Linked DNA regions of Oreochromis niloticus. The main gene of each other region encodes a partner of the protein of the gene in region 3 in a complex. Links are inferred from orthologs where the notes say so. Each region holds a gene or a part of one and is shown on either strand. Other genes may lie near its edges.

Region 1 (7,402 bases), on a different chromosome or scaffold from region 3:
CCAGTCCAGGGGTACTGCCCCTGATCTCCACGCAACATTGCAGAGGCGTGTCAACCAGGACAGCCCTACAACATCCAGAGCCTTCAGGAACTCGGGGCGGACCTCATCAACACCAGGGGCTCTGCCACCAAGGAGTTGTTTAACTACCTCAGTGACCTCGCCCCCGGAAATTGGCGGGTCACTTCCCTCATCCCCAGACTCTGCTTCCTCCTCGGAAGACGTGTCAATGGGATTAAGGAGGTCCTCAAAGTATTCCTTCCACCGCCTGACAATTTTCTCAGTCGACGCCAGCAGCGCTCCGCCAGCACTATACACAGTGCAGGTAGAGCACCGCTTTCCCCTCCTGAGACGCCTGACGGTTTGCCAGAATCTCTTCGAGGCAGTCCGAAAGTCTTTTTCCATGGCCTCTCCGAACTCCTCCCACACCCGAGTTTTTGCTTCAGCCACTGCCCGAGCCGCATTCCGCTTGGCCTGTCGATACCTGTCGGCTGCCTCCGGAGTCCCACAGGCTAACCAAGCCCGATAGGACTCCTTCTTCAGCTTGGTGGCTCCCTTCACCTCTGGTGTCCACCATTTGGTTCGGGGATTACCACCACGGCAGGCACCAACTACCTTGCGGCCGCAGCTCAATGCAGCAGCTTCGGCGATGGAGACGCTGAACATGGTCCATTCGGACTCAATGTCCCCAGTCTCCCTCGGAATGCTGTTGAAGCTCTGCCGGAGGTGTGCGTTGAAGATCTCGCGGACTGGGGCCTCTGCTAGACGTTCCCAGCACACCCTCACTACGCGTTTAGGTGCACCGGGTCTGTCCAGCGTCCTCCCCCGCCACCTGATCCAACTCACCACCAGGTGGTGATCAGTTGACAGCTCAGCCCCTCTCTTTACCCGAGTGTCCAGAACATATGGTCGCAGGTCTGGTGATACGATTACAAAATCGATCATCGACCTGCGGCCTAGAGCATCCTGGTGCCACGTGCACTTATGGACACTCTTATGTTCGAACAAGGTGTTCGTTATGGCCAAACTGTGATTTGCACAGAAGTCCAATAACAAAACACCGCTCGGATTCAGATCAGGGAGGCCGTTCCTCCCAATCACGCCCCTCCAGGTCTCGCTGTTGTTACCCACGTGAGCATTGAAGTCTCCCAGCAGGACAACAGAGTCTCCCGGTGGGGCACCTTATATTTATCAGCTGATATAAAGTGACATAAAAACGATGGTTAAAAATAATGTCATAGTAAAAACACACAAACCTTCTGTTGGGTTTGCTGGTTGATCCTTGTTGATAGCTGTCTGGATGTTACTGAAGGATGCAGGAGGTGCACATTGTTGCAGAACGCCGATAGCATTACAAAACTGATCAGCAAGCTGGACACACAAAACAAAACCAGTAATAGGTTACGCTGTTATTTGAACAAGACACTAGCTGCTGCTGCTGATAACATAAACTTCAGACAAAAGAAATTTAAAGACATTTCTTTCATCAGTTTTACCAAAGTATGTTTTTTTTTTTAAAATTATTATTATTATAAAATATAGATATTTAGTTTACCAGTGTCAACCATAAGGCCCGGAGACCAGAATCCAATTTTACCCACTGTAAAAATGTGAAGGCATGCTTAAGTTTTGGACTTTTAACTGTATTTTCATAAGTTTTACAGCTTCTCCTGAAGATAAAACCTCCCCCAAATAATGAAATGAGAGAAAGTTCATTTTTTAAACTATCTACTATAGAAATCTGTGCTTTTTACAATGGGGTCACATTACAAAATATATTATTACAGGACAGTCTACACAACAAGCCAAAAGAACTTTTTCTGTTATTTTAGTAAGTAAGTAAAATGTATTTATATAGCGCTTTTTAAAACAGGAAGTTTTTTCAAAGTGCTTCACATGGGAATAAAAGCATATCAATCGATACAATAAAACACTATAAATAGGGTATAGTAGCATATCCAGTAAAACAGTTTGCTACACATGAATATTACCTAAATGCCTGTCTAAACAGATGTGTTTTGAGCTGTTAAAAGTAGCTACAGAGTTGATGGTGCGTAGCGGGTGAGGTAAACTGTTCCATAATATTAGAGCCAAGGCTTGAAAAGCGCAATCCCCCTTCGTTTTCAAACGGGTCCATGGAATGGTTAGAAGACCACTATCAGTGGATCTAAGGATCCGGTTTGGAGAAGCTTAGTGATATAAGTGGGGGCCTCACTTGTAGGCACATGAATGTAAAAGTGAGGATTTTAAACTGATATCTATACTCAACCGGAAGCCAGTGCAAGGATTTTAACACAGGGGTGATATGGGAGAATTTATGACTGTGGGATAAAAGCCTTGCTGCGGCATTTTGGACCACTTGGAGGCGATTTAGGGAAGCCTTAGACAGACAAGAAAAGAGTGCGTTACAGTAATCTAAACGAGAGGAGATGAAGGCATGGACAAGCATCTCCAATTTTACACATTTATTTCCTACAATTTAAGCCCAACAAGTCACACTGACAAACTTTTCTTTATTGTGTAGAAAAACTATATTACAATGTCTCAGGGATTAAATGTGTAGTTAAAGTTCTGACTGTAAGTGACAGAAAGGGTAGTTTCACTGATTGGCCCAAAGTGCATAGTGTGTTGTATGTAGGCCACCAAGCAAAAGGAGAATGACATCCCTGGTCTAGAACCACCCTTAAATAATTATTATTATTATGTTTGTTTGTTTGTTTTGGAAAATGACAAATAGGTGCAGCACTTTATTGAAATGGGAAAAAATATGTGGAAATACAGTATGTAAGGCAAAAACAGACTTTGCAATATTCTAGCAAGCTGGTACAACATGAAGGATCAAAATCTGACCTACTTTTCTCCATTCGTAATTCCTTTAAGTTCAACTTCTGTTCAAGACCACTGAAATAAATAAGAAAATTTGGTCCCTTGCAAGCCAAATATAGAGAAATTACTTTTGCATGTTAAATACTTCTGAATATCAAATGTTGACCCTCTGGGGTTACTTTCCCACGTTAGTTTAGTATTTTTCTTTTCCAAATATATTTATTTTGTATTATTTTGTTCAAGGAAGCTAGCCAAAACGACGTTTTAACACTGTAACACTTCGTTGTTTAAAATAACTGAGCTGGTTTGGTCGTTTCGTAACACAGGCCTTTAACTATACTTGCTATAATGGTTAGCTACCCCGTGTTGTTCACATGTTACTAAACTACTCGAGCCACTGGTTTGCGTTAGCTACCAACTCTAATCGACATGACGATGCATTTTATATATTTTTTTACACCTCCTTCTACCAAAGAACGTTTAAGATATTCAACATTTGCCTTACCGAATTGACTGCGTCTTGAAGTTGTGTTAGCCGGTCCGCCATATTGTCTGTTTCTGACGTAACTGTCGCGAGAACATAAAACATCTCGCGGTATATTCGGTATTTTGGGAACCTTGGTTGGCAAAGGTTGGGTTACTTACTTTTACCGTCTCACAACTGGGTTCACAGCAAACTTGAAACGCGTTAAAAATCGATATTTTCATATCAGCGGAGGTTATCTTCTATTTTAACGAGGAACGGATCTTTATTAGACCCTGTTTGTGGCTGCTTTATGAGGACTAATGTTAGCCTTTAGCTAATATTAGCTACTAAACATCAACAGGAAGTAGCAGCGGAGTTAACGCAATTCCAATGTCTTGTACTGTGGCTTCCCCAGGTATGATCATTTTTGTTTCTTTAATTCATTATCTAAAATTGCATGGCAACACCGATTTGATATACGCACCCGTTTATAATGCGAGCATGTAAGTGGATTTGCATGAAAGCTTAACTCTGATTAGTAAGTTGGCTAATAAGTGAGCCCAGCTTGTGTGTGTATGTATGTATGTATGTATGTGTTGTTAAAATATATTTTACGTTGTCAGCTTACTGAATTTGGAAAACTGAGAAACTAATTCCCTTCACGTTTTATATAGCTGAGACGAATGTGCTTCAGAAGTAATTATGTAAAGTGAATCTGACGCCTAAAACACGCAAGGCTTGCTCGTAATAAGCGAATTAGCTGACACAGCAGCTGTAATGACGAGTAGGTCGAGGAGGAGAAAGCCTAGACACAATGTCAATGAATGATTTTTAGCTGGTATTTTGAAGTCAGAGCTGACGCTTCAGTTGAGGTTACTTCTTGGTTTTCAGATATTTTTAAAATTATATAATACCAATATCGTGGTGTTGTTGTTTGATCAAGCAAAATAGATCTAGATCAAGCATTTCTGATTTAAGTCGTGTTTAAAACATATTAAAGTGATTATCATATAGAAAAAGACAACTTTTATAGAAAAAGGCTGCTGTAACATATTGCTGCTTAACAGCAGCAATAGCTTGCAAAAAGCCACTGCATCATGGTATATACATAGGTTTTTTTAGGACTGTTCAGAGTTCCCAGAAAACTTTCACTTGACTGCAGCTGCTGTATGTACAGATACAAAGTCAGCCTACCTTTAAATAAAGAAGCTATTTTAATAAGATATAATTCAATAGTGTCAGTCATCACTATAATGAATAGCTTGCTAATGGATAATTGCTTTAACCAAATGTAATACTTAAGGGAAGAAAAGAAGGATTGACGAGGTGGATGACTACTATGTTTGCAAGCAACCTTGTCCTAGCTCCTCTTAAGAATCACTTGTATTTCCTCAGGCATGAACTGTACATTAGAGAAGGTCCTGGCAGATGCCAAATCATTAGTGGAAAGGCTTCGCAACCATGACAACGCTGCTGAGATGTTAATCGAACAGACGACACATCTCAACAAGCGAGTAGAGGCCATGAAACAGGTAGGGTGTCACATGAACTTGGGGAAATGTGAGGCCTAAAGCATTTGATGTAGAATCCATGAAGTTTATTTCAAAAGCTGGAATAACACTTTTTAAAAAGTATTTTTTAATTGTTATGATGATCTATCATTTTATATTTTAGACTGAAGGTTTTTCTGCTTGTTCTTTTTATTGATAGTACCAGGAGGAGATAGACGCCCTGAACGAGGTTGCACGGCATCGGCCTCGTTCCAGTCTAGTCCTGGGAATCCAGCAGGAAAACCGTCAAATTAGGGAGCTCCAGCAGGAAAACAAAGGTAGGCAGTTTCCTTTAATGTCAACTCTTCTGTTGAGAGATCGGATGGCCGGTGCATTTTTAGTTTTGCTTTGATTTGTGGAATATAAAGCCGGAATTTGATCCTTCCCGTAAATCAAACTTGTTCATACTTCATGTAGAGCTGCGTACATCATTGGAAGAACATCAGTCTGCCTTAGAGCTCATCATGACCAAATACAGGGAGCAGGTGTTCAGACTTCTCATGGCCAGTAAGAGGGACGACCCCGCCATCGTTACCCAGCTGAAGGAGCAGCACACTACGGTCAGTATCTGGTGCAAGTACTTTTAATGTATTATTTTGCTTTTTTTTTTAACTTTTCTTGTGCATTAAAAAAAATCTTTGCAGGAAATGCAAGCACACATAGACAAGATCAACGAAATGGCCTCCGTGATGAGGAAAGCCATAGAGGTGGATGAGGAGCGAATATGTGAAGATGAGGAGAGGATTAAACAGCTAGAGGTAAAAGCCGAGCAGCATTACTTCCAATTGTTCCAAAGCTTTCAGACCAGGGGAGGGTACAAAAAATCCACAGAAGTTACAAATCAACCCAAACAAATGTCTGTTCATGTGACACCGAGGATCACAAGTGTCAAAGAAATTGACACTTGACACAAAGGCCAATAAAAGTCATCAGTGGAAACCTAAATGATCAAGGCTCTGAGGGGTGGAGTCAAAACTGGATCACAAGTCATAGTTAAAAATGTTCATGTGCTCCGTTATTTATTTATTTATTTATTTTAACAGTATATTCAGTGTGAGTTTGGAGTTTAAAAATGAACTAAAGCTTCATGTTGAGTTGAGATGTCAAAGCAGATCTTAACAGGGCATTTAAATTAAAAATTAGCCTTTTTATTTACATTTCCTCCAAGCTTTATTTTTTTCCTTTGACCTACTTTGTCATTTAGACATCCTACCTCTCTATTTTCATTAGGTTAAACAGATATATTTGTAGGCTTTTTGACCTTTACCTCTACTACTTGAAATTATCCATAAATCCCATAAAAGTTAGATTTATGTTACTATTTAGCGAACTAGCATTGCTAGGTGGCTTTAGCTTTTGACAGTAAGAACCATTAGTAGTGTTTCCACATGTTAACCACCAGATGTCAACAGTGAGCTTTTGAACTCTTAACTGTTTCCAAAGAGTCGTCCTACTGTAACTGTTTGCTTTATATTTTTTGATTTAAAATAGTCCCCCGATCCTTGAAATGCCCAGGCAGAAACTCTGATTACTACTGTGATACTTTTGGCCCTTCATATTAACATGCTTGGAAACACAAAAGAAAAATCAAATTTCCACTCTGTAACATGTACTGTAAGTGATTAAAACCTCATAAACCCATATTTTATTCACAGTAGTGAATAAGTAGCATTTTAAGAAAAACAGTAGCTCATTTGGAACTTAATACTAGCAATAAAAAAAAAAAAATAAAAAAAAAAAAGTTGGGATGGGGTAAACAAAAAGGAATATTTTCGGTTAACTGGCATAAAGATTAATACTCAACATGATTGGGTATAAAAAGGCATTTTAAAGAGGCAGAGTTTCTCAGAAGTAAAGATGTGCTGAGGTTCATCAATCTGCAAAAAATTGCATCTGCAACTTGTGGAACAATTTCAGAATAACATTTGTCAACATATAATTCTGAAGACTTTGAATATCTAATTATCTTCAGCTTGATAAATTCAAAGGATTCTGAGAATTTGGAGAAATCTCTGTGCTCAATAAAATTTGGGTTTATGGGATTTGCAAATCATTCTGTTTTTGTTTGCATTAAACACAGCATTTACATTGTCTCCGTGTATTTCAGCTGGAGAACAATGGACTCCGAGAGCTGCTGGGAATCAGTCGGGAAGCTTTTCTGGTTCTGAAGAGAGACGACCAATCAGACAGCACGTCGCTGTCGCCACTGCTCACTAGTGCCGACGTGAGCTTACGAAAAAGTTAAAGCCCAGGACGGCCCACCAAACCCCCAGCCCCTTACTGCTGCCGCTGTAGGGTACAGAGTCTACAGCCTGTTACCACGTGACCGCTTCAGATGTTGAGTCTCCTGGTGCATTTAGAACATCGCTGCTCCAGACCTGCATCCCTGTCTGATGATTCGGGCAACAAGCAGCGAGCCACCCCCCCTCCCTTTGTTCTTTTTCTTGTTTCTTGGTACTGCTGTAACATTTTGTTCATTTTGGCAGCATGCACGAGCCCGCAGTGCCTGCAACATTTTAAGGTGTAAATGAGTAAACGAAGGGCTTGAGTTCAAATAAATCTG
Region 2 (7,181 bases), on a different chromosome or scaffold from region 3:
CTTTTACAGGTGTGCTGAGAGCAGCAGGTAACAACACACCCAATAAACAGAGGGTCCAGGAGGGCTCTCTCTCTTTGTCTGTTGTGTCGTTGTCTGTCGCTTGTGCTCAAGGCTCTGCAGCCTGGGGATGCTTTGCTTTGTCTTGTTGCTCTGCTCTTTTCCACAGGATCTGTTTTTAATAGTTCAATTTTTAAATTGGATCTAAAAATAGAAGGATTGCGTTTCCTTTTAAAATGTACATCATGAGCCACCCTCACTGAATCACTGTTTAATGCTCTGCTGTAGAAGTGATGATGGAGTGAACCTTTGCTCTGACAGAAAAAAGAAAAGCAAAGAAAATCCGATTTATTTTATTTTACTGGCCGTGATAGAATTCTCTTTGTGATGAAGCGAGATCTTCTTCATGTGACCTGCATCAGACCACCTCCTCTAAGAGTCTCCTCCCACCTTTCCTTCACATCAGGATATTTCAGGTCAAGGAAAAGAGGTTAGGAAAAGGATGTAGGAGGTCATTGTTGTTATTGAGCTGACTAACACAAAGGAAGCCTGCATAACTTTATTGGTTTCATCAACACGCAAACAGAAACAAACTCTTCACATTTCAAACATTTTATTAGAACAAAGGATGAAAAAAAGGTCCAACCACACCCCTCTCCCTCAACTGGACACTCAGGTGATCGCCGCAGGTAAAAACATGCCCCATCAGGCAGGAGCTCACTCTGCAGCTGGTAGGACCTGACTGAGCAGCAGCACTTTAAATTATAACCTCTGCTGTCTTATCTGTTTCGGTCTCTTCCTGCTGAGACCATTGGACTGACAAGTTCCAGGAAATAGCCACATCCATAAATCCAGGAGAAATTTTAACTTGAAAATTGCAACAGGAAGGTCAAAGCTGATGCTTCCCATCAGCTGATCAGCTCCCACCTCAGTTCCTCCCCTGCAGTCTTTAATGTTCATGTGAATGGAGAAATAACCTTGGCATCCCAGCAGCGCTCCAACTCCGTCGTCACTTTGCGGCGGCGTTGCCGTGCGGCGGGGCCGTCTGCGGCTGCGCTTGCGTCTGCTCGGCGAGTGCCTGCTGCAGCCGCATGCGTTTGCGTGAGTAGTGCTGCCAGTGCAGCAGCTGCTGTTCGTCAATGAACTTGGCGCACTGAGCGTTCACCAGCTCCTTCCTGAAGTGCTCGTACTGCAGCAGCTCCAGCATGTGCAGGCAGTGGGGGTACCTGCAGTGGGCGGAGTCACAGAGCAGAGGTCAGCTGACAGAAGGTTGACAAACATCACAACTTTACTCTCACACAGAAAATTGTCTAAACCAAGAATCAAACATGTCGCCGTACTTGAGGAACTTGGCGTACTCGGGCTCCTTCCAGTACAGCAGGTACTTCAGGTAGTTGATGAAGGATCTGTCCCTCAGGATGCCTCTCTGAGCCAGAACTGGAAACACAAACACACAAAATCTCCGTCAAACTCTGGCAAACGTGAAGCTGCGAGAGTTTCTGATCACAGCATCACTCACAGTTCAGGTAGTTGGGATTCGCCAAACACTGGACGAACTCAAGCTCCAACTGGAAACGGTTCCTGGCCTGCTCCTCTGCACCGGGAAGCACACGAGTTAATCAGTAACACGACATTCAAACCCAACAACACCGATTATCTTGAGATCATCAGGAGCACACGTGTTTAATTACAGTAATAATGTCCCAAAGGATTCAATTCACACTACACACACGCCAACATAACACAGCCATGAGAAAGCATGTTTTTATACCAGACTCCATTAGAAAAAATAGCAATTTAAAGACACATTGTTTTAATCCACCCTGAAAACTTTAAACAGGCAGTTTGGAAATTAAATTTAATGTAACGGTGAATTATTGAGAGCCGAATTAAAGCGCGAGTCTCAGAGTACAGTCTTCAGAGTCCATTCCCGGTTATCTTCAAACACACTCACTTAAGCTGATAAATCAAGTTTGTTCTTAATCTGAATAATTTCTTGCGACGTAGTGAACAGGACAGAAAAGACCGACACTTTGCAGCCTGACTTAAAGCTAATCATGAGTATACCAACGTATTTAACAACACATTGAACCACATTTAAAAACAACCAAACCTTTGCTCCCTTTAACTCCCTTAAATAAAACCAGTAATCCCAGCGCCGCCAGACTCCATTAAAAAAGTGACAATTTAACGCCGCTTTGTCGGTTTGGGAAAAGCCTCGTTGTCAAAGTAGAAAAACAAGATAGAGCACATCTAAATACCATCAGCTGCTCACAGACAGGCTTTTAAAGCCAACAAAGTAAAACTTACGGATTTATTGGTGTTTTGTCTTGCAGGAAATATTAGCCTAGCAGATTAGCATTGATCAAACAATCTGCTACAAACCTGTTTCCATGGCTACAGCCTGAAGGCACCAGTAAGTAGATGAAGGACTTAAATGTCAGATAAACTGTCTAAAAATGTTTAAAAGGCAAAAATAAGAAAAGAAAGCCGGGTTTTGCTCTTTTCAGGTTTAATCGCTGCTATCAAACGTGTGCAGACTAAATGACGTAAAACTTCCGCCGTCTTCGCGACATCTACGTCGCTTTACGCCGCCTGCTGTTCGTTGTTTGGCCGCCAGAGGGAGGCAACAGACGACAAGAAAAAAGCTCCTTCAAACTACCACAAATAACTTGATTACACTTATGTAATAATAATAATAATTTATGTGAGCGCAATATTCACAGGATAACTAATAATAATAATAATAATAATAATAATAATAATAATAATAATAATAATAGTAACAATTTTTTCATGCACAGAAAAGCACTGAAGATGTACTTACTATACTGATCAGGGTGCAGTCAGATGATGAGAAAACCAACTAATGTGCTAATACTGTGACTGTGATCATGTACTATTTCAGGTCACAGGTGACCTCTGTTCTATACAATCCTTCAAAACATTTTGCTACTTATACACAAAACTAAGAACCTTTCTTTTTAGATTTTGTATTAGTATAAAAAACAAAGCACAGCTTTCTTCAGTTTGAACACATATTGGCTGTATATGTCTTTGTCAGTGTAAAGGTTCTCTCCTGTTTACCCTCTAAAATATGTTGGATGTTGTCCTTGTGTAAACCGTCACACGCAGAGTCTAATTTTCACCCCTGCAGAATCTCCAGGTTTGGTGCTCAAAGATATATAAAAGTCTGCTGGAAGTTTGCAGAAAGTTACCCGAATGCTTTTCACCCCTGCAGAATCTCCAGGTTTGGTGCTCAAAGATATATAAAAGTCTGCTGGAAGTTTGCAGAAAGTTACCCGAATGCTTATCAGACCGTCAGCACCAAAATCTTCCAGTCTGATGAAACCAAAGTTCAAATATTGTGACACAACACACAGTGATATGAGTGGAAGAATACAGGCACCGACTGCAGGGATGTGGGGATGTTGTATTTTAACATAGAGCGAAAAACAAACGCAGAGCAGGATCATTCAGTAGGACAATACCCCAAAGCACATCATCATGAACACAGGAAGGCTTGGACTGGCCCAGCCAGAGACTGGACATGAACCTGATAAAGCATCTATGTAGAGAGCTGCACCTGGCAGTCACTCAATCTCTGCAGCCAACATAGCTGAGCTGAGAGGTTCTGCCAAAACCAATAAGAGTGACAACAAGAGTGACAACAAGAGTGACAACAAGAGTGACGTCCTAGACTAGACCCTGTCACTGCTTTCAAAGCAAGTGCAGAGTGAAAAGCATGCCCACTAATATTGGACACTGCTAATTTAATGTTTAGTGGACATTTGAAGTGGCAAAAGAATCATTTAATTATCTAAGTAAATCATTTTGTCCAAATCACATTTTTCCTCCCCCAGATAAAAGTTGCAGCTAAAAGTTTGACCACTGGGGGGCAGAGTTTCACCTGGATGTGTGTTGTTTTAATTTAAAATTCTTCTTTTTAGTCTTATCCTCAATGTCAGTGTCCTGCTCTTCAGCCACATCGATGCACTGCACCATTTTTTGGTACAAACGGCATGAAAGTGCAGCCTGGCATCAGCTGAACTTCAGCTGATATCACTTCAATATAAAACTTAGATGTTTTTGACATAAAATCCAAGCTTCTGTTTGTTTCTGTTCAAACTTTAGTTCACTTTGGAAGATGTTCGTTTAAAAAAACCCAGCAGAATTTACAAAAAGTGCATTTAAAGATCGATCTTTATTAATATGAAATAAAACTGTTAACAAGATGGTACAAAACATCACATATGTACAGAACACACTCATCAGCTCGCATAAAAACTGTGTTATTATGTTTAAATATAAACCATATAAAATGTGAAGCATATTTACTAATTACGCTAAAATAATTCCAGTTCACAGGGAAAATAGTGGTTTCTTCATTGGGAATTTTCCCAGTCAGTAAAGTTTTGCTGCAGCTCTTCTAGAGTCAGTCCTCCAAATAAAAAACACAGAACAGCGAAATAATCACAAAGAAAAAAACTTCACAGCAATCAGGAAGAAAATTATAATACAGTATCCTCTGCAGAAGAAACAATCTCATTAACATAAACTGAAACAGAGCCCTGTGGCACACCTGCTAACAAGCAGTTTCACACATTTATGATGAGCAGATAAATATCAGGAGCAGCAGTTTTTCTTATTTTACTTCAAACAAAAAGAACAATTTTATATGACATTGTTATTACAGACAACACTTTATTAAGTGTTTTATAATCATCTTGTTTAGGTCCTGTTTTCACCCTCTGTTAAACTTTCTCCGTGTTTCCATGGTTTACTCACAATGTGCTTTCATCCTTCATCCTTCTCAGCTTCTTCATCTTTTTTGATGCCTTTAAAAAAATAATATTACACTCCTGACAGTACAGCTTTCTGAAGATGTTTCAAATTAAAAGCCTGTGATGTTTTTTTTAATTTCAGGTTTCTTTCAGCTGTTAAATGTTCATCAATGTCATTCAATAGTTCTTTTTTTTATAATTAAAGGGGCAACAAGAATTTGAATGTTTGTAGTTAGAGTCCACAGTCCAGCTCATTTTAAGAATCCATTTAAAACTTGTGGACTTGGAATTGTGCATGAAGCTGTTGTTGTTTGGCACTAAGATTGCTTTAAAGACACTATGAACAAATACTAAAACCTGCACTCTATGTTAAACTGTAACCTCAGTTTGTGTGTATTTATTTAACACCATCATGTACAAACATATAAAGGTAGATCTAGTTTTTCAATCCACCAAAGGTAACGTAGACTATATTCCTTGTATGTGGGAGTCCATTAATTGCCATTAATGCTACTCTGTAGACAGTTTACTAGAACGTGCACATGCACAATGACACAAACAACAAAATCAAGATGATGTTTCTGGTGGCTCAGAAAGTGCTGCAGCACGAATATAAAAAACAAACTCCTTGCAGGGAAATGCCCAGATGCTGGAGCTGAAAGATCAAACCTGAAAAAGTTTTTATGTGCATAAATAAAGATGTGGGAGGATGTTGCTCCTATACGGGTGCAGTGACGTTGGCCCATGAGGGGAAAGTGTCCAGAGAAAACAGGACCCGACCCCAGCTGTTGATGGCCAGACTGATGCAGCCGATGCCGATGATGTTCATCACCACACCTGTTTTAGCCTGTAGGGGGCACAGTGGCAGAGGAAGAGGAGGCTATGATGACAGAATGAATCAGAATGATTATTTCTTTCCAACTGGAAGAAATGAAGAACTCACCATGTCGGACACTTTGAGGAAACCGGAGGAAAACACAATGGCATTAGGTGGGGTGGCCACCGGCAGCATGAAGGCGAAGGAGGCGCTGAGGGTGCAGGGGATCATCACGTACAGAGGGTTCAAGCTGATGGACTGGGACTGGGTCAGGAAAAGGACAACAGAGTCATCAACTTTACCGATAAACTGGCTTCAATGGCTTTTTTTCCTGTTACATTTCAACACTTCCTGTTCAGATGTATCATAATAAACGTCTGTCAGTGGCTCAAAGGGTGAAGCTCCTTCTGTTCTCTGTCACCTTATGATATGAAACATCTGTAGGAAGTGCAGCAGCTTGTACTTCTACTGTATGCTGATGATAATGAACTGTTACATCACACTATGCATATGTACAAATACAGTCTGTGTTGCCTGTGTTTTTGGTACCATGGAAGCCAGGATGGGCAGGAAGAGAGTTGCTGTTGCAACGTTGCTTGCACATTCAGTGAAGGTGGCAACGAGCAGGCAGAGGATGATGGCGATGGCCCACGGAGGGACTGAGTGGAGCGGCGTCATCTGATCACCGAGCCAACGTGACAAACCAGACTCCTGAAAAACCGACAAGAAAAAGCAGGACTTCAGTCTGAGTCTGAAAGCAAAGGTTTCTCTTTACTATTAATGAAAACTCGATCTGGTGTCTTTACTTTTCCATATTATATAAGATTTACTTAATCTCATTAAACCATCTGCACTGTGCCCATACAGAGCAGAAGAGTCGTTTCGTTTTCATTTACTCACAAAGTCTTAGTTGTGTTATTCTCTTGGCTATCAAAGTGTATTTTTAGTTTATTCCTTCTACAAATATCAAAACTAAGGTTGCATAAAAGAATTTAACAGAAGGCCGCCACAGATCTAACCTGTAAATGTCTTTGAACTGTAACTAAAAATCAAGGCTGACGTAATAAAAGAAACCTCGTGGTGGACTTGGTATCTAGTGATTTGTCATCTTGGTCCTCATTTATTCTTTTTATTAGTGCTGTCAGCGTTAATCTCGTTAAAATGATGTTAACGCCATAACCGCATTAACGCGCCAAATCTCTGTTAGCGAGTTAACGCGGATCGCCCGTGCGAGGGGCTGTACGTTGTTAAGGTGTTAACGAGCTAGCCACAATGACGTGTTGACGCCGTGCAGCCTTTGCACGGGGCGATCCGCGTTAACTTGCTAACAGAGATTTGGCGCGTTAATGCGGTTATGGCGTTAACATCATTTTAACGAGATTAACGCTGACAGATCTACTTTTTATAAATAAAATCAAAGGTTTTACCTCACTGCCTTTGGCCAAAGCAAAGCCGCCTCCCAGCAGCAGGACGATATTCCAGGGCATCTTCTTCTGAGTCACCTGCCAGGTGAGCAGAGAAGGGGCGGGGCCTTGAGAGACCCGAGACTCTGATTGGATCAAACAAAACCATTTGAATCACAA
Region 3 (8,424 bases):
CTGACGTATGCGTAAGCTCAGGCTTAATGTGGAAAGGAACTTCTGTTGCGTCTTTGGTTCATAGTGAACTTTGTCTTAATTTAACAATTCACAGAATATCCTACAATTTTTCTAGAAAGAAGCAGGACATACCTTTTGTTAATGGTCTTCTCCTCCTTTTGGTATGGCTTGACAAACCACTTGCCAATACGAACAAAGCCCCGGTTCATGAGGCAGCGCTCCAGCAGGTTGTGAATGGCTTTGAACAGGAGAGTTCGACACTCATAGGATAGGCCACTTTCCCACTCACCATCCTCCTCACCTGAAACAAGGCAGATGCAAACATGATGACTTTAACAATCAAAGCTTTTTTTCCTGATAAAGCTAACCAGTGTTAAATGTACTTGGTTTTGTCATACATGCGTAGCCTTAATTTGGCTGTGCAAAAAACAAGAAGACCACAGTTACACCTGCTCTACCGCGTATAAATACAGGAAAACATTTAATATTAATAAAAGTCTTAGTTGCTGTTATGTAATGACGTGATCCAAAATAAAAGGCTTCAACCCAGTTACTGACTTATGTAACAGAAAATAAACTATTTTGTTAAATTACAGAGAAATTATTAGATTAGGTGAAGCTTACTCATGCCATTCCTCTCTGATCATCAAGAGCTATACTCCCTGCATAGTGGAAAATTCAAATTTCCAACTATCTTTGGAGCTCAAGAGAGATTTGAAAAATTGTTGCCAACTCTGTCTCTTTAATGAGCAATTTCTGCAAGTAACACTTCACCCCACCTGGGACAAAATACCTGTGTGTTAGCCCCTAAGGGTACTTTTTCTCTAAGAATATGAATATGAATATCAACAAAGCAGGATTGAATCTCCAGAAATCCAGAGGTGTGTCAGGTGACTATGATGCACAACAACTTGTTCTAATCCTACCATGCAAGTCTGTGTCTCTGTGGCCGTGGGCCAATCAATTCCACAAGGCTTTAAAGACATTCAAAGACCAGTTAGCCACAAATTCAAGGGCCTTAGAAATTATTTTTAATCAGACTTTGCATCATCAAAAATGTGTAAGAAAAATATTTGATACAGTAAGCATTTCAGGACAGCATCTCTAGGAAGTATGTTATTAATATCAACAATTACACACTTCAATTTAAAATTGTTCAGATGGCACAAACTGAACTAAGTGCTGTGAAAGCACAAGAGTCCACATATAATTTGGGGTAAATCACCAAATAATATTGGAATTTAATTCAGTGAAGTGAAATAAACATTTTCATCTAATAAACTCTGATGCTGTCAGAATCACAAATCTTGCAGTATTCGTGGAGAGGTTAAATGCACTTACTTAAGAGCTCATTGTGGATAAGCTCTGCAAAACTGGGGTCATCACCCCACCAGAAAAGCCAGAGCTCTCTGCGACCCGGGGTGTGGTGCCTCCTCCAAACACTCAACACATCTGCCGCCAAGCATCGGCTGAAACTGCACAAGATTGGGTCCTCCTCAGTCACAGGGAAAAGGATAGGCGAGGAGGTGGGTCCTTGCCACACAAAACGCCGCCATTTTATTCCAGTCAAATCAGCCTTAAAGAGAAGAAGAATAGTGATGTGAGAATGTGAGAATGAACACAGAGACACAGAGAATAACTGCAAAGCATAAAGCCATTTTCCAGTTGTTTACTGCACAACTCTTCATGCATCTTGACCTAACACACTGCAGTAACAAGACAGCCTTTGCTGCTAAAATTACTTTCAATTCAATTAATTTTATTTTATTTATATAGTGCAAAATCACAACAACAGTTGCCTTAGGTGCTTTATATTGTAAAGGTATAGATCCTACAATTATATTGAGAAAACAGAAAAAGGAAACTTTGAATAAGCAAAGCTGAAAATTGAGGTTTGTTTACACTGTTGAAAGTTTTCCTGTACTCTTTACACTTGCCAAGATGATCACGCCTGAAGCCATAACACCCAACTATAAGGAAATAATTTACAACCAGCAAGTTAACAACCAATGACAGACCTGTCAGTTTAAAACCAGACTGGTCTGTCTCAAAATGGTTGGTGACAGCCACAATTAATTTGCATGCAGTGCAGTTTAAATCAAGGAAAAACAATATGTTCAGCTGGTTTTAGAGAAACTGCTCGTTTAGTTGTTCTTTTTACCACCATGTAAATAACGTTATTGCTAGCGGAATATTTTAGCACTCAGTGCAGTGTAAACACAAGATCGTGCCATATTTATCAACCAGCCTTCAAAATAGTTGTCATGCAGAATGTGCTGGCTCTGTTATGAAAGTTGGCTCAGATCACGATTTGTTAGTTGCAGGCCCGATGCCTTCACTCCAATCTGCAACTGACGTTACAAGGCTTGTTGCCTTATTAGCCAAAATGGCTTTCTGGCCTCTCAGGATCGCTAACGCTCGCTAGCTCACAGAACAGAGTCTTACCAGGCAGAAGAGGTTGGAGTGGCAGTCCTCCAAACTGGCCCCGTTTGGTACAAAGCACGAACTCATCCTTTCACTGCGTAGTTGTAACGTTAAAATCCATGTTCTCAATCACCTTCGGGGGGCAATAGCCGATCTGGGTAACTCGCTTGCGAAGCTATGTTCAGCTCTAATTATCCCGTTAAAGCGCTGCCAACTTGCTAGCTTCAGCTAGCTGACGCTAGCCAAACAGTCAACTTCTAACCGGCGCTAGCCACCACCACTAGCCTGGCAGCTAAGCTAACGTTAGACAGACAGCCAGAACGCGTCAACTGTAAGCTTCTCGCTATACGATTCATCAATCCTATTTGAAATGTATTGTCTGATCTGGTTAGCCGCAAGCTTGCGGCTACATCACCTCAACATTAAATAATCATCGATAACAAATCGAAGAAAGACTAGCGTTAAATACACCACCGGAAAAAGTTAAATGCGCAATAAAAATACGAGCTCAAAAACTTAAAAGAAAAACTTAGATGCTGGTATGCTAATGCTAATGGCAGCTAGCTGCTCTGAAACAATTTCAAAGCGGAGGAACTCGCCCCTCCTCCCCCTGAGCTAGCCTAGCCTGCTAACACATTCGCTAACATACCAGAGCTCCAGCGTTAGCTCGCCAGCTAAATAAAACAACCCGCTACGCCGCCCTCCTTTTCACCAAAACCACCATGGTGCTCCGTCATATTAAAACTACCCTTAAAACGAATGAAACACCCCAAACTAGCGTGACTACTCATCAGCTACTCTTCTCTGCCTGCTCCATAGGTCCTGCAGATTTCCATTATTTCAGTTCATGTATTGAATTCTTTAATGGCGGCCAGGAGGACAACTCTGCCTCTTAGCTCCTATTGGCCAATTTGTGGTAATGGGGGCGTGATCCAGCTTCAAGTAGCTCCATGACTTCACAGTTTACAAGATGAAAGCTCCAGTGCATCTGTCATGCAGTGGTCACTCCTCAGTGATGCCTGTTAACGTGCATGTTTCACTGTGCAACATCTGCTGCATGGACAGTTATGGGAAATATTTGGTGAATTATTGTTGGTGGTGGGAACATGTGTGTTTGTTTGCATTGTTATGTAAAGGTAAAAAAAAACAAAACCAACTGACTTATTCTATTGTCTTCTGGGGGCGTTTGCTTTGTGCATTGAATAATAATAACTAGATGACACGAAGTCATCTAGTTATTATTATTTTTATAATTATTACTGAAATTCTTTCAGGAATACAGTGGTGCAAATAAAGAACCAACATTTGCATGAAACACAAACACTGATCAGGCTACATACATATAGTTGACAAATTAATATGTATATATGGGGAAAATGAACAATAAAGAAAAAAACACATTCAGTACTGAGATTTTATTTAAGTGCATTTTTGAAATTTACTTTGAAATTAATATAAACAAACTTTTTCATGCATTGCAACAACCCTTAAGAAGCAAACTCAGTTCAATCAAATAAAACCCCTTTGTTCTAGATGAATCTGCAAATATGTTACTGCAGTTTAAATTTGTGTGCATTTCAGAACAGGTGGATTGCACCTGATAGAAAAGGCATTAATCACGAGTTAAATCTTTATACTTTTTAAATCTAACAACAACAACAAAAACAGACATAAACAAATAAATTCAAGGGAAGATTTTAAATAATGAAGAAATCTAGGTCAAACTGTGTAGACAAAGATGGATACGTCACTGATCCCAGCGGTGTTCAATAATGTGAACCTCAGCTGCATTTTTGCATGGACAACTTTTTCTCTACCCCCTCCTCAACGTTATTGCAGCGCTAAGTAAACAGCTTCGCCATCCACCGGGCTGGTTATTTTGGTGCTTTTTATGTCACACGGGCTGTGAACTTGATGCTTTCACACGCATTGGACGTGCACACCTTCCTGTCATTTCCACAGCAGACCACAGGGCGGAGCCTCCGCACGAGCCTTCAATGGTGAAACTTCCCTCCCCCGAGTGGGCGGGGCTTCGGATGCTTCGAGAAAATGTCAACAACATGCCGCAGACTTCCAGAGAAACAGAAAGTGAGGAGGAAATGAGGGACAGACAACAAAGAAAGGAAGAAACCCCGGTGTCTCATAACATCGTGACTTTACTATCTCAGTTCGCAGATGATAATTTAACGCTCGTGCGGGTAGGAGTCTCCTTTGTTTGAAAGCTGGGATGCATAGACAGCATGGTTACTTGACTGTCAGCCTGCATCTGCTTTTAATCTTTCACTTGGTGGTACCCTATATGTTGAAAGGAAGGACTGTGGTCTCATGCAAAAGCCTTCATGGCGCTGACCAGATGTCCTTTCTCTAGTTGTCCCCAGCAGAGTATAGTGCTCATGTGCATTATCAGTGACCAGCACTTTAGCCTGGTTGGCAACATCACTCTCATCCCTTTACTTTTCCCTTGTCTCCCACAGAATATAAGCACTGGACTGGCCATTGCTGGTGTAATTGTCATAGCAAGGAGTATCAAACTGGTAAGGGAGAAAGACCCTCAAATGTTCAAAATGTTGTGTGCTATCTCAATTCGCTCTATCAAATCGACATCCTACTACATAGGATGTCATTTTTTCTGTGTTTTTCTAGAATGAGTCATTCACTTGTCTGTTCCACCTCTGTAGATCACAAAATTTCAAGCTGCGTGTGACATCCCCACACGTTTTATTGAGAGGAACGTCAGCCTTCGTGGGAAAGTCCATTCCATCACAGAGAAAGGATTTAAAGTGGAGCACGTCCCAATTTATCTGCCTGTTATCTCTCCATTACTTTCAAAGTATAAGGGTAATACAGGAGAGAGAAGATCATGAAAGCATGTGCACTATCACACTAGAAATACACGGTCTATACTATTCAGAGCCACTAATCTATGGCTTAGCAGCGTAATTATTTCATCTTTTTGCACCATAATATAATTGTGGCGTTTTTACTTTGCAAAGTCGGATATATTTTATTAAACTGCCATGACTGAAAGTGGCAGGTAAGCCTGTTAGCTGCTATATCAAGTCATAGTAGTCACTGAGCAATGAAATCATAAGGTGCAGCATCAGCTACTTCACCGAGGACACAGATAACACGTTTGCCCCACCTGACTCAACATTTCAAACCTGATCAGTCATTTAGTATAGAGAGGGTTCAATTTGTCTTTGCATCTAACAACAATTTTTTTTCTTTATTATTAAATGTAAAATGCAACATTTCAGTAGTGACACCACTAAACTGTTACATTATGCTTACACTACTAAAAAAATACAGTTTCAGGCCTTGCTCAAAATTCATATTCTAAACAGAATACATAAAATGTCAGGTAAATGCTTTGTCTTTCTTCTTTTCAGATGTGTCTACATCCCTGCTGCTGGTCCATCTTGCAGGAGTGGAGCTGACACCACAGGGGAAACTATGGCTGGAGAAGAACGTGGCCCCTTCCCAAATGGTGTGGTTGAAGCTTATCAGCCGAGAGGACGACATATTGCATTGTTTGGTGTCTCAAAGCAGGGTAAGAGAAACCTTATGTGGAAAATTGAGTAATTAATTTCAAGTTATAAAGTGATATTTCCCTGTCTTCTCGCATCTCTCCAGAAGGGGTCATTGAGGAGCTACTGTATGAACGAAGAGGTACTCAGGCTCGGACTGGCTCGCACTGCCCCCGTAGCTGGTGTCCTCCCTGACTCGCGCCTCTACTGGCGTCTCCACAGACGACTGCACAGGGCAGAGGTGAAAGCTGAGAGGAAGGGTCGGGGTATGTGGAAGGAGGACACCCTGTGGGAGAGAACTTCCAAAGCTATCAGGGACAACGCTGTATTCAGACTGTTGAAGAGGATCTTTAAAAGAACCTGATGCACCAAGTGAGCGATGATTTCCAAGTCAGAATCACAAAAAAGTTTGTTGGAAGTGTGGAAGTGGAAGCCAAAAATGTGATATTTTACATTCCCTTTATTGTGCACTTAGGATTTCTTTAAGTCTTTGATCTGCTTTATTTTCTCTAATACTTAAAAAAAATTCCCAAGAAGTACATTTATACATCAAATCCTTAGTGCACCTGTTGCAAACGATTGAAACGTGTTTTACTGTGTTTCTCAGTCATAAAAAGCTTGAAATTCTTAAAAAGGTTGTTGAACGCTCTTCTTCAATCCCTGAGCTTTCATTACCAATTAAACTAGAGCTAGACACAGCCTCGCCTATTGGTGTGTGTGTGTCTGTATGTGTGTGTGTGTGTGGGAAACCCCACTAAACTCAAGACGGGGGTGGGGTATTTAATGGTGTTCAAAATAAAGGGGGGTCCACTTGTCCACAGTTGCTATAGAAACACCAAATGTGAAATACAAAGCGACTCCAAGGCTAAACTCTATATTGGTGGCCCCCAAACCCCATGGGAGCCTTATATATTGAGTGTGTGTGTGTGAGGGGGCTTTTAAGTACCTATAAAGAGGGCCCTTTTAGTTGTAATGTGACCAGTACATTTAAGCACTAAGCACAGTGGGAAATGGGAGATCAAATCTGTTTGTTTCAGAACGCTACATGCTGTTATTGCAGGCATGATTGAAAAATCTCATGAGTGATATTTATCTGCAAACGTTATTCTAATCAGCATACATTGACACCTGCACCAAAGCTAATTTCCTGTTGAGGATCATGCTCCTGTTATTGCTTTTTCTTTGCCAACATTACACCTTGTGCCTGTGGCTGTTACTCATGCTTCATCTGAGCAAGGCAGATGAGGAGGAGGAGGAGGTCCTGCAAAAATGAGGCCAGTCAGCGATGCGTCCTGAGGGGTGCGGGGTGGGGGAGTCACAGTGTAGCGAGAGGTGAAGCAGTCAATCCAGTGGGGCACAAGGAGATTAGTGCAGAGGAGGAGGAGGAGGAGGAGGGTCACTGGGGTAGAAGGGGATTTTGAGTTTGAACACAAAGGCAGAAGAGGAGGAGTCACAGTAGTAGGGAAAGGGAGTGAAGGCGGGGGATGATGAATCAGATTTCTCTTTTGTTGTGCAAATGTTACTAGCCACTGTTACTGCCTAAGAGGCTGGTGATTGGTGGGCTGGTTTAAATTGTAAGGTGCATTTCAGGCTGATGGCTGTTGCTGCTAGACTTTGAACTGTCACTGAGGGAGGAGTGGGAGGGAAACCACGGCTGTGACAGACAGCAGGAGGAGGGCAACGTTTCTAAAGCGACTGATCACAGAGAGAGTGTGCCGTTTAATCAGGATGTTTAAATGTTTTAGTTAGCTGTTGGTGTAACTTCCTCTTGTATCTCAATTAAATAATAGTAATTTGATATTTTTGGAGATAGCTGAGCAGTACTGATATATAGTAAATAGTTAATAATTAGTTTACATTTGTCCAAAGGTAACCTTGATTTAGAAGAGCCTGTTTCTTATACACTACCAGAAACATTGATGACTGTTACAGTGACAAGTATACTACAGTTAACATTTTGTGCAGATAAAGAAAAATAGAAATGGATATGTCATAGTGGAGAAAGTATCAGTAAAGACGCCAGCTTACGGAACCTTATGCCTTTAAATGTTGAAGTATTTAAAAAGCCTGTTGTGTCTTTTTAGTTTTAACTTAAGTAAACTGAAATCTGAATAAATTATGAAACACAATCCAGTCCGAAATCCATTCCAGGCTTTCCCCAGTTCACTAGTCCCACACCAGTAGTAGTCATTTGAAAAGGCACCATGCTTGATCTAGTGGTGGGTTCTTACCCACACAGTGAAGTTGTTGGAGTCTTCCCTTCCTGAAACCAGACCACTGGGACTATAACAGTGCACTAGTGCCTAATGCTATGGATGTCCAGAGCCTGAAGGACTGCTGTATTACTACCAGTGAAAGTGGCAAGATTTTGTGAAGAAGGACAACTTAACTTCAAAATCAGAAACTGGACTAAAAGACGTAAGTGGGCTGATGGATTCTTTCTTTCTTAAATAAATACGGCAAGACAGCAACT
Region 4 (8,376 bases), on a different chromosome or scaffold from region 3:
GGAAATAAAAATTGCACTGCTGTAACAGCCAATAGGATTTCTGTTGAGAGTCTAGAAGAAATGCTGATTAAACAGTACAACCATGACTTAGTGAAAGATCAGAGAAGCAGACTGAAATATCAAGAGGGGGATCTGTGTTTCATGGATATTGTTAGTAGCTCAATAAAACTTATTGGAAATTATTATCACATTGATTTGCCTTTCAGAAGAGAAAGTCCCAGCTTACCAAATAACCTCTGTGTGGCGAAGTAGCATCCCCAGAGTCTCAGACTGAGATTTGAAAAGGATGCTTGCTGTAAGGATGAATATACTGCATGTGTAAACAAAATGCTTAAACAAGGATATGCTGAATTTGTGCCTGCAGATGAGTTGCAGAAAAGTGATGAAAAGGTGTGGTACATTCCTCATCATGGAGTGCATCATCCCAAAGGGCAAGGAGAGTTTTATTTGACTGGAACAACTTATAAAAAGGAGCATCACTGAACAGTCAGCTTCTACAGGGACCTGATCTCAGAAACTCACTGGTTGGAGTTCTGATCAGATTTAGACCAGAGTCTGTTGCTCCGTTTCCTGTGGTGGCAATATGGTGACACTACAAGGCCTGCACAGGAATACAGGATGAAAGTACATTTGTTTGGAACAGCATCTTCACCAAGCTGTGCAAATTATGCTCTACAGAGAACTGCAGATGAGAATGCACAGCAATTTCCAGCTGAAGTGGTTGATCCAGTCAAAAGAAACTTTTATGTGGATGACTGTTTGAAATCTGTTGCTTCTGAAGAGGAGGCAGTGCACATGGTGAAGCAACCCCGAAAAACACACACACACACACACACACACACACACACACACACACACACACACACGATTTTGACTGTTTCTTATAGACTTTTACTCACTGAAACCGGAAAAAATATTTTTAAAAATTCCATCGTGTCAGGTTGTCTTGCAAAAGTCATGTTTAGTGCAATTAACTGTACAATTTCCCCTTTTAAGCTGAAATCTGGCATCCTACTTGAGTCAAAGTAGGATGATTTCTTACATGAATTTAATATTTCTAAACGCAAGACTGAAGAGAAATACAAATAGAAAATGCTCAGACGATCATGTCCGGTTTCATGTCCAGGTTTATTTTGTTCATAATGAAAGGCAAGGAATCTTAGGAAAATTATGCCTAGGTAATTGTAATAAAATATTTCTTTCATCGCTGTTGTGCTTTTTGTAAACTCCTCGTGCAAAAAAAAAAAACAAAAACACAAAAACAAATAAACTGTACATGATGGATTGAGCACCCTAAAAAAAAAAAAAAAAAAAAAACAACCACACAACACACACAGACTTTACCAAACATTATTTTGCAGGCCTGTGTAATTTGTGTGCCTTTGATGTAGAGCACCTGATTATGCTGTAAACAGTTTTAAATGGTGATGAAAAACAGCTGAGACATTGGCTGCATTTTTAGGTAAATCGTTGCATTTCAGTTTGTAGGTTTTTAAAGTTTAAATTAAAATAAACTAAAGTTATGAAAAGGAGTCGTTAAACCCGCTTGTGGTTTTTGACTGTTAAAAAATAAATAAATAAATAAATAAAAACTCAGATTAATTGTGTTAATGCATTATGTCAAAATGAAAAATAATCACTTTAAATTCAGACATGTGAGGTTGTGCCAAAAAGAATGATACCAGACAAGGCCAGATAAACGCAACACACACACGGAGGTAAAATCAAAAGTAATCCAAAACCGGCCAATTATACACTGGACCCCAGAGGGTCCAATGGTTTATCGTTTGGCAGGAAACAACGAAACATAGGGGGAGTTTCACTGTGCAGGATTTTCTGAAATGGAGCCTAAGGCGGGGACTGTGTGATATGATAGCGGAGTTTGCCTTACTTGATTCGCAGCAACGGAGAGGAGGGAGTCGGCCGTTTGCAGGCAACAGAGGAATATTCCAGAGCTGAGTAATCAATGGCAGAGAACTGGAGAGCAGGCAAGTGAGTTCCGGTTCTCTCTTTTGCAGGAGTAGAGAGAATGAAGTATGAACGTGGAGGTAGCAGTGTATGGAACACATAACCTAATGGAGACAAATCAGGTGAGTACGGAGACAGAGGAATGAACCAAGGTGCTGTTACTAGGGAGATGATAACAGAGTTACACAGGGAAATCACAGGAGAAAACAAGGTAACAAATGTGATTTACCGCCATAGATGAGCAGATGATCTGGTGAAAAATGACCATCCCCAATGCGCCTAAAAGCTGCTGCACTTTAAATATCTTTATAAACCTATTGTTATATGCGTTGTAATTTCTGCTATCGTCTTGGCCAGACTACTCTTAAAAAGACTTAAATGCCAATTACACTATTTATCTAGTTTACAAAGGATTTATAAAAGTGCCAAAAACTTTGCAGCTTCTTCCTTGCGATAGGAATGTTGTTTGTGGCTCAAGATTACTTGATATCTTGTATCGTTTTTGTTAGGACTGATGGTCACAGGCTTGCTACGGTTTGTCATTTCCCTTCATCAAGACCAGGTATTTAAGGAGCACCTGTGGCAGAAGTTCTCTGCCTGAACATTTTTCCTCTACAGCGGTAACTCAGCCAACCTTCGTGTAATTTAATCCAGCAAAAGTAACCACAGTTTCCCTGGCAGTCCTCCTTGTGTTTCCTGAAGTTCAGTCTTCGAGTTGACCCTTCCTCTGGAAAACATGGAGAACCAGCAATGGTCGGACTCACACTTCACCTAGATATCTGCTTACCTTGTAATGCTGAGGATTGGATCCGTTCGCCCTCCACGACACTAAGCCTAAGGCTGCTCATCTTTAGTCAGCCACCTCCTTTGCCCCCACTCACACAAGTCAGCTTCTACTACAGTGGGTGGGGTAACTGCAGAGTTACTGTAGTTTAGCATTCTCTTCTTTTTTAAATTTAACTTACTTTCTAATGTGACCGTTTATTTCAGCTTAGTTTTTGTTTGAATTGCTTTCATTTAGTTTCTATTAGTGTCACTGTTAGTTTACTTCAATATATGCATACTTGCATGAACAGTTCAGCAAAGCCCCAAACACCGCACAGGCTCATCTGGGATTTGAACCCAGTACCTCTCACACCCAACGTGAGAATCATGGCCCTAAACCAACAAGCCACAAAAAAAAAAAAAGAAAAAAAAAAAAGATTTTTAACAAAATTCATATTTCCCAACTGCTAGGAGAAGAAGGCATGAAAGATTGTCTTAAATGCTCAGAAATAATATCAAGTCCATTTGATAGTAGTCTATTTTTCTTCATCCCAAATTAACTGCTTTGTGTTTTGTTCTTAGACTCTAGAGTAGCTTTGAAGGACTCTTTTGGAGAGACAAAAGGCTGCCCTCAACAAAGAGACACTCATTTAAACCACTTTAAGATCAGAATTATTACAGAAAAGTTAAAGAAAATACAGATGCAAAAAAGTACAATGATGCACATAACAAATAGAAAAATAAAATGACTGAAAATAAAATTTGCAGTTGCTCTCTTTCTTAACACCGTTTTCATGAAACTAAACAGAAATGAACTCATAAGCTTCATTTTCTCAGCTCTGAGTGCACAGTGAGTGACTTCTCTCTGCTGAATTTGCAACAAATATAACTGTTAGTGTGTTTGAACCATTCAGGCATTACTATATGTGCTCTTAAAACCACTAATTCGCGCTGAATGTGGGTTTCACCGAAGTAAACAGTCTGAATCTTTGTATACATAGAGCATTGTTAGTAGATCACATCATAATAATTTGTCTCACTTAGTGAAAATGTCTCATAACACATCTTATTTTCTTAGTGCGATATAATTTCACATAAAATTGTCACAGAACTAAGAATAACAAAATAACCTGAGCATGGTGAGCAGAGGGAAGGAACAGGAAACCAGGAGGCAGGAGAAACGCGAAGGCAACATGAAGGAATGACACACAAAAACAGACCGACAAGGAACAGAAGGAAACACACACCATAAATACACACAAGTAAAGAGGGAAATACGCAACAGGAGGGAGACACAGCTGAACCTAATAAGACATGACGAGGCAGGGAGGAAGCAAAACACAGTACATTGACACTGGATACAGACTTTCAAAGTAAAACAGGAAACACACAAAGGCAGAGACAAGGATGACAAGGAAGACACAGAGAACACAGGCTGTGTCCCAATTTAGGGGCTGCATCCTTCGGAGGACCGGACCTTCGCGGTCCACGTGGGCCGGGTCCTCCGAAGACCAAGAAGGCCGGAAGTGCAAGGCTTGTGAAATGGGACGCTGCTCAGGTTGCCTAGCAACCATGATACAACCATGATAAAAACGCTTCATGCAGCATTGTTTGACAGAAATGAGGGAGACTTTTTTTTGTTCATCTCTTTGTTTTTATATGAGCTTTGTTTGATTTGATAAGTATCTGAGGCTGAGACAACGGGACTGTAAAAACATGATTGTTGGGCTTCATTTCTGTACGGAACAGTAATTTTAAGATTAGCTATTAAATAACAATTAGCTAATGTTGTTCATCAGACTAAAGTCATCTCACTTTGGTAATGTTACTATAATATGGCCAATATTAAATTTATTATTATATTAATCATTATTAGTTATTACAGCAGTGAGTTTAAACTCTGTTTCAAATACTGAGCTTCAGTAAAGATTCAATTTGTAGTTATTTATATTTATAGTATATATAATAGTATATATATATAAATATTTATATGTATATGTACAAGTATTATATATAAGAGACAAATATTGTTCTTTTAATATGTTGGCATTACTAAATTTGTCTGAATGTTTACATATATGTGTGAAAAGAAAATGTACGAGCTGTGAGAACTGTTTCTGATAAAATGAAGAGTACACTGATATATTAAATGTGCCTTCATAGGATGAGAAAATCATACCATGTCATAACTGCTTTAAGTGATACAGAATAGATATCAGAGCCTTAAACAGGCCGACTTCTGGTAAATGGGTCAAACTGGGCAGAAAGTATACAAACACATAGCATCCTCATAGAATATGATGTAACACTATAGATCAACTTACCTCAAAATATATAAAGTATATAAACAATTACAGCAATATGATGCAACTAACACAGCAGTAATACTAATCCAAAATACTCAAAGCTTCATAGAACTGAAAAAAACTGACATTTATTTTTAGGTACATTCTGCTACTGATACATACTTTAGGTTTCTGAATAGTAAACTTGTTAGTGCCTTTCATAGTGTTTAACTTGAAGGTCCTGAGTACTTACTCCCACTTTGAAAACACTTGAATGATAAAATTATTTTAACATTACCTAATAAGACTGATTCAGGACAGATAATTAGTTATTTTAAACTTTTCTGTTAGTCCTTCACACAGAGGGAACAGTCTGTCAGCTGGTGCCGACTCTTCTTCAGACACTGCTGAGTTTGTCCTGGTGGATCATCAGGGGTGCAGTCTCACAGATCATCTGCAGCAGTGGGTCCCTCAGTCTGTCCTGACTCTGGACACTTACAGTTGTCACACATGGAAATCAAATGTGTGATAACCTGCATGTATTTATAAGTTACAAGTGTAACTTATAAATACATGTTTTATTATCCAGAATGTTGCAAACATAGTTGTGGTTTTCATTTCAATCATAGAATTCTATCAGTGTTACTTCACTGTAATTAAAAAAACCCCCACTCTCCTCTTTATCCATTATTTAATTCAAATAATAGCAGCAAAGCCGATTCAACAGTCGTTATGTAAACTTACATGATTTAATGAAAATGAAGGGAATTATTTAAAATAACTGCTCACAAATATCTGGGACCAAGTGAAATGACAACCCTCTTTAAAACCAGTTGTTTGACTGTTTGAATTTTATGTATACACACACACAACTCCCCCAACCTTTATTAATTCCCCTAATGTGTACCCCATCATCAGAGTGACAGTAATACAAGGAAAATAAAGACAATATAAAATCATTTGGTATCACCTGACTTCAACAAAATAAAAATAAAAATAAAATAATGATCAGCAATTCTGTAATTCTGATTGATCAATATGGTGTGTTTGTGTGATTGTGCTTCTAATGCAATGGTTTGGGTTCATCCCCAACTCCTCCAGCAAGGCGATACACAGCAAGGCTGACTTCGTGTGCCAGGGCGTCAGCACTCTCCTGAAACAACACAGAGAGCCAGAGTATTATTCACAAAACAATTCCCTTCCAGATATTTTTTAACCTCAGTAACACTGCCATGAGAATCAATAACAGAGAAAGCTTGGAAAATAGATTTCTCACCTGCGTGTCTGCCTCTGCGTATACTCTCACCACATCCTCGGTGCCGGAGGGCCTCACGAAGGAGCGAGCCTGTCTGTACTTCTTTACTAAATTGTCGATGGCCTCCTGCAGGCCTGCTGGGGTCACCGCCCGCCTCTCTGCATCTGTTGTGTCTATCACCCTGCGGTCCGCCACCTACAGAAAAAAAGAAAAAGAAAAAAGATCACCCTCAGGAGCCACTATCTCTAACTGGCTTGAAGTAGACACAGACACTCTACTATGTGCAGGGTTACAGTACACAAATGTTTATCTAACAAAATAAAAGCCTCCTTAGTTTGGGTCGGCACTGCTGTAAATTAAATGTAAAGTGCTGTATTTCTTTCTATCACTCACACTTTATATCCTGGATATAATACATAACTATACAATATGAGCACCTTGACTTTAAGTTGCCTGTTTGGCAGGTCGGTATAGATGGTGTCCCACTGCTGGATAGTCATCCCTTTGATGGCTAGTATGGCTTCAATCAGCAGCATGTCAGAAATGGCATCTCCTACAGTCTTTAAAAGAAAATATCGACGTTAACAACAGAGCTCCGGTGTCTGCATGAGCTCAGTTCAACACGGATGTCAGTGTGAGCGTGCCTGGTTGATGACGTTGATCGTGTTTCGCAGCAGGAGAGCTGCTTTCTTCCTCTTGTCGTTGACGTTTGTGTCCTCGGCCAGCTGCTGGATTTTCTCTTCAGCTGCCTTGCTGAACAACACCTGATCCAAACACAAACAAACACAGGACGACACATTACTTCTGATTTTTGGAAAAATCGAGACAGGTAAGCCTTACAGGTGATTTTCAGTGCATTTAAAGATGTGTGCATATGTGTGTACTCACTGTTCCGTGGCCATTGGCCTCAAAGTACACACCGACATCAAACTCCTGGGCTACATGGTGAAGATGCTTCACTCCAGTCTTTGTACACCTCACTAAGACCTAAGTGGCAAATAAATCTGTGAGAACTGTCCTCTCCATATAAATACAAAATAAAACACCTGAACTCTCTGTGGAATTTTTTGTCACCTTCATTGTGTTCTCCAGATAGTGTGTTGAACTTCCATTAGCGTACGCAGTTTGCACCACTGCTATCTTCAAGTCTAGTCCAGCCTGTGCATTCCAAGGGAGAAAAAATACAAAGAACAACCATTCTTGGTAAGTGGGTGCCTGTATGTCATTTTCATGTTCGTTTGTTTGGTTTTTTTAGAGTATACCTGTGTGAGCAGCTCTTTCAGGAAAGTGCTGATGAGGGTAGCCATCTTGTCTCCATCCAGCAGGTGAAATGTTCCTTCAGAGTCCGTGTAGTAATAAACTATTCGGTCGGCATCGCCATCAAAGGAACAGCATCGCTCTCCTGGGTTAATCTTAATGCCTTCATGTGAGAATGCAAGACAGGTCTCGCATATTAAAAATATTACAGTACATTCAAGTAAATTAAATGGCCCTATGCGCACCTGTTGGGGGTTTTTGCTGCACCTTCACATAGTCGGCTCCACACTGGTGGTTCAGCCTTCCTTTGCTGCCATCATTATTAAGAGAAATCTGTAGCTCTTTCTTCAGGTGACTCTCCATCTCACGTACCTTCAGAGCCCCGATGCCATTAGCGCCATCCAGGCAGAGGTGCTTCTGGTCATCCGTACGGTTGGACGTCTAATGGTAAGAAAAACATGGAGGAGAGAAAGAAAGGAGTAGTTCTTGGATGAATGAATGTATCGTAAAACACATCGACACAAACAAACATAAAGCGACTGAATGCAAGAGCAAAACAACACACTTCTGCTTCTTACATTCTTGGTGAGCTGAATGAAAGCTTGGCAGAATTTAGTGTAGTATCCTTCCACTGTGGCCTCTCCATATTTACCCTGTGTGTTTTGACAGCAGACCATGTAGTGAAGCTGAGGGGTGGTCACCAAACCATAGTCTAAAAGGATGGATGGAAAGGATAAAAAGGCAGATAAGGAGCCAGAAGAAGTACCAACAATAAAAGAACAAAAACAAAAAAGCCAAGCAAAGCAGGGACCTAGTACATTGCAAAGCATATACTTTTAATGCAAC

Evidence for each region.
Region 1: mediator of RNA polymerase II transcription subunit 13-like (region 3) and med21 share a complex: the UniProt entries of both Homo sapiens proteins name them as parts of the mediator complex. The link is inferred for Oreochromis niloticus from reciprocal best matches to the Homo sapiens genes MED13 and MED21.
Region 2: mediator of RNA polymerase II transcription subunit 13-like (region 3) and med31 share a complex: the UniProt entries of both Homo sapiens proteins name them as parts of the mediator complex. The link is inferred for Oreochromis niloticus from reciprocal best matches to the Homo sapiens genes MED13 and MED31.
Region 4: the proteins of mediator of RNA polymerase II transcription subunit 13-like (region 3) and ccnc are in contact, whole or in part, in a cryo-EM structure (PDB 8TQC), measured with the Homo sapiens proteins. The link is inferred for Oreochromis niloticus from reciprocal best matches to the Homo sapiens genes MED13 and CCNC. Residues at the interface, in NP_005112.2 of Homo sapiens: Tyr1342, Ser1630, His1631, Val1732, Lys1733, Thr1734, Thr1736, Phe1738, Gly1739, Pro1740, Gly1741, Ala1743, Arg1897, Met1898, Ile1901, Asp1905; in NP_005181.2 of Homo sapiens: Gln7, Gln13, Trp14, Leu16, Gln19, Lys23, Gln26, Lys27, Arg75, Tyr76, Glu144, Leu145, Asp147, Cys148, Ser221.

Annotation. Positions count from the first base shown.
Region 1 is NC_031981.2:34,716,673-34,724,074, reverse strand, and holds the start of med21 (mediator of RNA polymerase II transcription subunit 21), read right to left. Parts: upstream 3,469-7,402; 5' UTR 3,413-3,468; coding exon 3,329-3,412; intron 1,369-3,328; coding exon 1,254-1,368; intron 1-1,253. Other genes in the region: fgfr1op2 (FGFR1 oncogene partner 2 homolog), read left to right, coding at 3,680-3,704, 4,685-4,821, 5,000-5,117, 5,257-5,399, 5,484-5,597, 6,947-7,084. UniProt on the Homo sapiens protein: Component of the Mediator complex, a coactivator involved in the regulated transcription of nearly all RNA polymerase II-dependent genes.
Region 2 is NC_031975.2:31,352,658-31,359,838, forward strand, and holds med31 (mediator of RNA polymerase II transcription subunit 31), read right to left. Parts: upstream 2,574-7,181; 5' UTR 2,393-2,573; coding exon 2,383-2,392; intron 1,592-2,382; coding exon 1,517-1,591; intron 1,435-1,516; coding exon 1,338-1,434; intron 1,224-1,337; coding exon 1,007-1,223; 3' UTR 542-1,006; downstream 1-541. Other genes in the region: slc13a5a (solute carrier family 13 member 5a), read right to left, coding at 5,500-5,628, 5,725-5,862, 6,148-6,309, 7,026-7,147. UniProt on the Homo sapiens protein: Component of the Mediator complex, a coactivator involved in the regulated transcription of nearly all RNA polymerase II-dependent genes.
Region 3 is NC_031979.2:25,760,807-25,769,230, reverse strand, and holds the start of mediator of RNA polymerase II transcription subunit 13-like, read right to left. Parts: upstream 3,316-8,424; 5' UTR 2,512-3,315; coding exon 2,446-2,511; intron 1,577-2,445; coding exon 1,342-1,576; intron 302-1,341; coding exon 133-301; intron 1-132. Other genes in the region: c18h3orf33 (protein C3orf33 homolog), read left to right, coding at 4,422-4,622, 4,899-4,958, 5,103-5,262, 5,814-5,974, 6,058-6,315. UniProt on the Homo sapiens protein: Component of the Mediator complex, a coactivator involved in the regulated transcription of nearly all RNA polymerase II-dependent genes.
Region 4 is NC_031980.2:6,951,885-6,960,260, reverse strand, and holds the start of ccnc (cyclin-C), read right to left. Parts: upstream 3,041-8,376; 5' UTR 2,817-3,040; coding exon 2,756-2,816; intron 2,073-2,755; coding exon 1,892-2,072; intron 1-1,891. Other genes in the region: pgm3 (phosphoacetylglucosamine mutase), read right to left, coding at 6,082-6,171, 6,295-6,468, 6,711-6,833, 6,918-7,037, 7,162-7,260, 7,348-7,431, 7,536-7,693, 7,776-7,971 and 1 more. UniProt on the Homo sapiens protein: Component of the Mediator complex, a coactivator involved in regulated gene transcription of nearly all RNA polymerase II-dependent genes.